2 linked regions of the Mus musculus genome follow. The protein of the gene in region 2 interacts with the protein of the main gene of each other region in a pairwise test. Links are inferred from orthologs where the notes say so. Each region holds a gene or a part of one and is shown on either strand. Other genes may lie near its edges.

Region 1 (3,650 bases), on a different chromosome or scaffold from region 2:
TTCCTCATGTTGCATTATAAACCTGCTTCACCATCCTCCTGGGTTGATAAGGAAGAGACAGCTGACATTCACTGGGGAGGCTTGGCTTGCTCTTTTGAATGACAAACTGGCCTCAGCTTTCCCAAGGTTGTCACCTCCTTGGAATCTGTAAACAGTTTGTTAGCCTGACAAAAGGCTGTCCAGAGAGAGCGCAGTCAGTATCAGCAAATACAGATGGGGGCTCTCTTTTGTTTGGTCTGTTTTAAAAATGGGTGTGTTATATTACAATATGTTGCTTCTAATCCCTGAATTAGAGTTTGAACTTACATAACCCACCCACCCCCAACAGAATTTTATATCTGACTTGCATCTGCTGCCTCTATGACCCAGAGGGCCTGGTTCCTTATTTTCCCAGCTGGTACTTGCCACATCCTGCATTAATTTAGCCTATGATCTCATCGGGACACACGCATGTTCACTCCCCTGTCAGTCTCAAGAGAACCACAGGCCTTCTGAGCAATGCCACTTGACATCACAGATGAGTTCCCACTGCAGATACATCTGAAAGCCGCGAGGCCAGGGTGGGGCACTCTGTGATTGCATTTGGATATCTATCATCTCTCCAGAAAGCTGGCACACGACTTTAGAGACTCATTTGGAAGACAGTTTACCTTGCAGAGGTGCTGACAAGTGGCTAGCCTGCCCACTGCACTCGTGTGTGTGCTAAGACAGGTTAGGCCTTTAATACCGTGAAGTTCTTGGGGACCAAAATAGCCCTCCCCCGATGAGCTGCTTGGCTTGAGGTTTGCTTCTGTCTCTCAGGAGTCTGTTTATTGGAGGCTTGACCCTTACTGTGGTGGGAATGAGGTAGGAGACCTCTAAGAGGCAGCGCCTACATGAGGCTCCCTCCTTATGTGAGGAGCGGTTGGCAGTTAATGGTGTTTGGAAGAGGCAGAGGCTCTTCTCTTGAGGAAGTGTAGCCAGTGACATATTATATAAGCCACATACTTGTAGAAAGGCGTGTTGGGAAGAGGCAGGGTTCCAGAGGGAGTGGTAGGGGAGAAGGGAATGGAAGGCTCGACGTGGCCAAGAGTCATTATATACATGTGTGAGATATTTAGAGGGTGGCACCGAGGTCACAGGGGTGTGCTCTCAGGAGGGAGGAAGCCTTGCCAGGCCCCACCATCTGCCCTATACGGGCTTGAACACCTTCCCGAGCCGAGCTCAGGCTAGCTCCATGGCCTGCACCTCCAGCACCTTCCCGAGCCGAGCTCAGGCTAGCTCCATGGCCTGAACCTCCAGCACCTTCCCGAGCCGAGCTCAGGCTAGCTCCATGGCCTGCACCTCCAGCACCTTCCCGAGCCGAGCTCAGGCTAGCTCCATGGCCTGCACTCCAGCACCTTCCCGAGCCGAGCTCAGGCTAGCTCCATGGCCTGCACCTCCAGCACCTTCCCGAGCCGAGCTCAGGCTAGCTCCATGGCCTGCACTCCAGCACCTTCCCGAGCCGAGCTCAGGCTAGCTCCATGGCCTGCACCTCCAGCACCTTCCCGAGCCGAGCTCAGACTAGCTCCATGGCCTGCACCTCCAGCACCTTCCCGAGCCGAGCTCAGGCTAGCTCCATGGCCTGCACCTCCAGCACTTGGAGTGAATGAGCTTCCCCCCTTCTGAAGCATCGGTTCTGTTACGACAGTAAAGATGCAAATATCCCAGCACACAGGCAAGACTGAAGAAGGGGGAAACAAAATGGCTAGTGTAGGGTGGAAGGGTAACACTGCCTCTCACAAGGACCCCGGCTTCAAAAGCGGTTATTCCTTTTGCTTTAATAATTTCATCAAGTCCAAGAAATTGCCAGGTTTTTATTTTAATGTACACATCAGTCATATAAAACAACATGGTTTATTTCCATGATTAATTGCTATGCATTCATTCAATATGATGTTTTTTTCCAATTATTTCTTGTGTTACACATTATTTAGTAGCTGACAAAGGAAAGATCCAATTTTACAGAAAATACATTTTGAAGATAACATCAAATTATAAACAGTGATTAACATTGGTTGATGAATTCTCAGTTATTCTCATTTTTAAAACCTTTTCTCCTGTGTCTCACATTGTCCTAGTGAGTACTGATAATTACAGGTGAAATGAGCCTTGCTTTTCCATGTGCTGTGTGTGTCGGGCTGATAGGAATTCGTTAGCAATGTCATTTTGAAAACTTGGTGCCTAGTTTTGAAGGGTCTTTAATGGGTACAGTGTAAGTAGGCTTCACTGAGACATCAGCCAGGGTTTAAAGTTGGGGTATTTATTTTGTTTTCTTGTGTGTGTGTGTGTGTGTGTGTGTGTGTGTGTGTGTGTGTGTTTTCTTTTGTGGAATTCAGGAATCAAACTCAAGACTGGTGTATGAAGCACCTCTGATATGAGCTTCCTCTCTAGTCCCACTATGGCGATGTCATTATCTATATTAAAGTACATTTTGGCTGATGAGTGTACATGCAAAGCACTTAAAAAACATGTATATGCTAACGAATTAGGGAATAGTATTTAAAAGGGGTGCCTGTCAGCTCAGGCGTACCTCAGCATTGAAATGCCAGCTCAGTCTTCTCTGGTTTTTATTCAGATCTTGATCCACATCCAGTCAAATATGTTGGAAAGCCTGTTAAAGATCTTAGAGGACTCTCTTGACACAAATTTATCGAAATTTGTAAGAAGACACACATTCTCAGAGGAAGTGGTAAGTGTGCCAACGCTGCAGGTGACACCGAGTGCAAGCTCACGTGCTCACCTGGTGTTCCGGTCCCGAGACCACCTGTGCAGCAAGAGGCCAGACACAGCAGTCTCTCTTGCGTGGCTTTTGGACTTCTCAGGTCCCTCCCATGTTGCTCTCTCCCTGTACTATTCTATAGGTCCCTTCCCTCCTCTGAATAATGACTTCACACCTTTTCAGTTTTCTCTCAAGTATCCATACCTTTCCCTTGCTCCTCGCTCTCAGGTAACCCTTGCTTCCTTTGGTGGGAGGAAATAGAAGCAAACTGAAGAAAGCGACTAGCACACTATCAGCCATTCAGATTTTGAGCTGACCCATTTTTGCAGGGTTAGTGATGGACCTGAGGCTGCTGTTGAGAGCTCTGGTCCATATAATAGACCTGTCAGTGGCCTCCTTGGCATGTCCACCCCAATGTTTCACCTCCAGAATAGAATTATGGATCGTTCATCCAATTTTGGATCTCCCTCTCCTCCCCATAACACTCCCTCTCAGTGTCCATCGTCACGTTGCTAAGACCCAAGTTAGGAGGGTGACATTGATCCCCTTCCTTCAGCTCCTTAGAGGGAGTCCTTCACTGTCACCCCACAGTGTGCCCCATGTGCAGTCACCTCCGCATCTCCTGTGCTTCTCCCAGTCCCAGTCACCGTTTGTTCTCTGGGCTTATTCTCTGTGCAGCTTGTGAAGTCTCCATCAGACAGTCACCCTCGCCATCCCTGTGGCTTTTAGGTGAATCCCAAGCACCATTCTGTGCACTGCGTGAAGCCCTGTATAACCTACCCCACTCACTGCCCTTGCTCTCTGTGTAACCTGTCCCACCTATTGCCCTTACTCCCTGTATAACCTGCCCCACCCACCGCCCTTACTCCCTGTATAACCTGCCCCACCCACCGCCCTTACTGTATTTTAT
Region 2 (3,650 bases):
CTTGGGAAAATGGAGAATTTCCTTGCGGCTGCTATCTGCCACAATGAGGTCGCCCCGAGCATCTACACACATGCCAGCGATGCAGCGGAAATCTTCATTCTCAGAGAAGAAGTGGCTGATTTGCCGGCCCAGCTGCCCATCGGGGCCAACAGAACCGATGGAGAAGCCACCCTCCAGGTGGTGTTCATTCTGTCGGTTTTCCACATTGAGCCCCAAGCCTTGGGTGAAGTAGACTGTGCCTTCAGCATCACAGGTGACAAACTTGGGCCTCACAGCACTGCAGAGGCAGCTGTATTTGACCACTCCTGCTCCTCGGTCTACAGTGAAACACCAGAGCTTCCCGCCTTCCACGTCAGTCACCACAAACTGGCCAGATGGTAGGGCTGTGATGCCCCATGGTTTGCTCAGCTGGCTCCTGTGACAGGCCACACAGTGGCCATCCATGGTATAGACTTTAAGGGAGTTGTCGTAGCTATCAGTGACACCAATCAGCCCATGGCAGTTCATGGCCACTGAAAGTGGAGTGAGATTGGGCAAGTCGGCTCCAAGGAAGCTTAGCACGAAGCTATCAATGCCGCTGGGGCTGCGGCGGATCTCCTTCAAAAAGCCTTTGCGGTTGAACACTTGGATACGATAGTTGCCCCGGTCGGCAACCAGCACCTCACTCTGACTGGTCACATAGAGACTGACTGGAAGATTGAACATGCCGGGAGTGCTGCCTTTCGCCCCCATCTTCTTGAGAAACAGACACTGCTGGATACCGGAAGCTGCCTCAGAACTCCGCTGTTTCGCGGGGGAAGCCCTAGGGCTGGGAGCTACTTCCTCAGGGCTCATGTCCATCTCTCTAAAGGTTACCGAGGCTGAGGCAGAAGATGCTGCTCCCTCCTCCCCTGCCCAGGAATCTTCCATGTTAACTGTCCGGGGCTTCTTAACAGCCTGGCCAATTTGCAGAGGACCAACGTGTCCTACCTTAAGGAGCTCCACATCTTGCAGGGTAAGCTCCCGGGGTAGGCTGGCAGTGAGCTCGGGCTCCTCCTCATCCGCTGTCTCCTCCAGGAGGGCTACATCAGCTTGCTTGATCTTCGCTAGAAAGTAGTCACAGCGAGACACGGCCTGCACCTCAGCAATGTTGAGTAGGTAGCTCTGCTCCTCTACCACTTGACTGTTGGACTTCTCAACCTCAGCCAAGGAGCCTGTGAAGAACTTCCGAGAGCGGGCTAGCTCTTCCTGGATGCGGCGTTCCTCATGGCCATATTCTTGAAGAACAGCCTTATACCTTGCCTGAAGATCCCTGGAGACGCCCTCCAAGGCTGCCTTCCTCCTCTGCAGCTCTCCAGTAAGTTCCCTTAGACGAGTCAACTTCTCCCCGAAGTCCCTCCGCCGCTCCTCAGCTGCCTCCTTGACCGGAAGTGTGCAGTGGCCAGGGGGTTGGTGATCTGCCTCCCGGCAGGGTTCACACAACACCACACCACAGCTTCGGCAGAACTGCCGAGGCAGCCGCCGGCCACAGCCTCGGCACATGAGCAGGCCGACGGCCTCACTGAGCCCAGCTGTGTCAATGATCTTCAGCACCGTCAGGTTGTCGGTCAGCTGGGTCAGGCTGGTGATGCGAGTAATCTTGCTGCAAAAGGGGCAGCGGACGCCATTGATGCTGCTGGCCAGGAGCTTCTCCAGACACTGGCGGCAGATGGTATGGCCACAGTGCAGCAGCTTGGGTCGCAGCTGCTCTTCAGTGAAGGACTCCATGCAGATGGGACATTCTAGCACTTCCCGGAGGGCATCCAGGTTCAGGTGAGAAGCTGCTGCAGCCGCAGCCATTGCTCTTCCAGTGAAGGTTCCTGCTAACACAGCTTAGAGCCACACAGCTTAATATTCATGCCCCAGTGTCAGATTCCTGCTAAAGAGAAAAAACAAACCATTATTCATTTTTCTACTCCCATATAAGTTATTTCAGTCTAGAAACACTTAGAGAATAGCTATAATCATCCATTGAATCATTTACTTATTTATAAGCATTTTATTGCAGTGATTATGACTTAGGAAATAGTGTCTCTCCCACCCCCCTCCCCTTACATACACACACACACACACACACACACACACACACACAAATGATTAATGCATTATGTTATGGAGGAATTCAGGGAAGAGCCTAAATTGCCTATCTTATACCATTACTGGAAGGGTTAAATAATATGACATACAAGCAGGAAAGCAGAGAATAACCCTGCCGATCAGAGAATGTCACATGAAGGTCTACACTGTGAGGTACAGTGGGAAGAGGGATGGAGCCTGACAACTGGGTAAGGCTACTCATAAATGGTGCTCCTTGTAAGAGAAGTCTTACAAATCTTAGAGGCGATGACACATACAGGAACTGTACGCAAAGAACACTGTGTAAGTTTGGGGTCCAAGCCTTTTCATTCCATCACAGTTGATGGCCTCTGATGTTTCACTCAGAGAGAAAATTCTGATGATTGCCTTTAAGCAACCTGCAAACCATCAGATGGGGGGCGGGGGGTGGGGCGTGTTACACATTTTTCATTTGTTCATCTTCCAACCTAGCCACCCATAGCAGTCTAGGCATCAGAAAGAACCAAGACATTACATTTCAGCATACCCAGCCTGCTCTGCTTTAGCAAGGCGAGTATGTAAGTTAGGAATCAAGGCAGACCCATTCTGATAGATAGGAAAGTAGACTCATTTTTACTTAAAGAAAAATGGAATTTCGGAGAGGCTGGAGCACTCATTTCAGCCTGCAAGGGCACAGAAATGAGACGGGAGAACGAAACACTAGGCGGAGGGCATAGCCTGAATACAGCCGAGAAAGCAGATGGCAAGCACAGAGTTCTGTCAATTGGGACGAAGAACAGGGGACGCTTGGTCTATCTAAAATTCTGCATCTGTAAAATGGAGACAGCATATCCTTTCCTGGGTTTACCGAAGGATCACATCTGCACCAGAAAGGTCCTTAGTGAACTTCGGTTCCCTCTTAGCCTTATGTGAAAACTGTAGGAAAACAGAGCAGGGGCTAGGAGATGCACAGAGATCTAACCATTTGAGGATGATTAGAGAGCTTAAGGACAAAGTGACTTTCATGTGCAAGTAACGTGGGACATTCTTTGTGAAGGGTATGCTAGGGCAAGCAAGCGCTTAGCAGCAAGGAACTGGTATGCTTAAGGATGAAAAGGACTCTGTGTATGTGTGTGTGTGTGTGTGTGTGTGTGTGTGTGTGTGTGTGTGTGTGTGTGTGTGTGTGAAGGGAAGGGGTCACATTTACCTCTAGGACGTCCCTCTATAGGCAGAAAATTGCTCTGGTATCCTAGTACCTACTATGTGATACACAATACTGTGCATGCTTATTCTCGCTTAATCCTCATTGTGGAAACGTGGTAAGAATTTTACTGTCCCACTTTGGCAATGAGAGCATTGAAGTTTTGAAAAAACGAGCTCAAGGTCTCAGCGGTCAAACATAGTACTTTGACTTATTTTTACCCCAACATTACTTCCAAGTTTTCTTTTTTTTTTTTTAAATGTCTTTCAGTTATTTATTAAAGAGTGCTCTCGACTCTGCTCTAGGACGCACTGCCTTTAAAACATACTTTTCTCCCTAAAAGAATGAACAATCATCTAGCTGAGTCAGCCAACAG

The links. The genes of interacting proteins can lie anywhere in the genome.
Region 1: the proteins of Trim32 (region 2) and Ptcd2 interact in binary tests that used the Homo sapiens proteins (3 or more experiments, as listed by UniProt). The two-hybrid records come from large-scale screens. The link is inferred for Mus musculus from reciprocal best matches to the Homo sapiens genes TRIM32 and PTCD2.

What each region holds. Positions count from the first base shown.
Region 1 is NC_000079.6:99,320,621-99,324,270, reverse strand, and holds part of Ptcd2 (pentatricopeptide repeat-containing protein 2, mitochondrial), read left to right. Parts: intron 1-2,596; coding exon 2,597-2,710; intron 2,711-3,650. UniProt on the Homo sapiens protein: Involved in mitochondrial RNA maturation and mitochondrial respiratory chain function.
Region 2 is NC_000070.6:65,611,376-65,615,025, reverse strand, and holds part of Trim32 (E3 ubiquitin-protein ligase TRIM32), read right to left. Parts: intron 1,898-3,650; 5' UTR 1,819-1,897; coding exon 1-1,818. UniProt on the Homo sapiens protein: E3 ubiquitin ligase that plays a role in various biological processes including neural stem cell differentiation, innate immunity, inflammatory resonse and autophagy.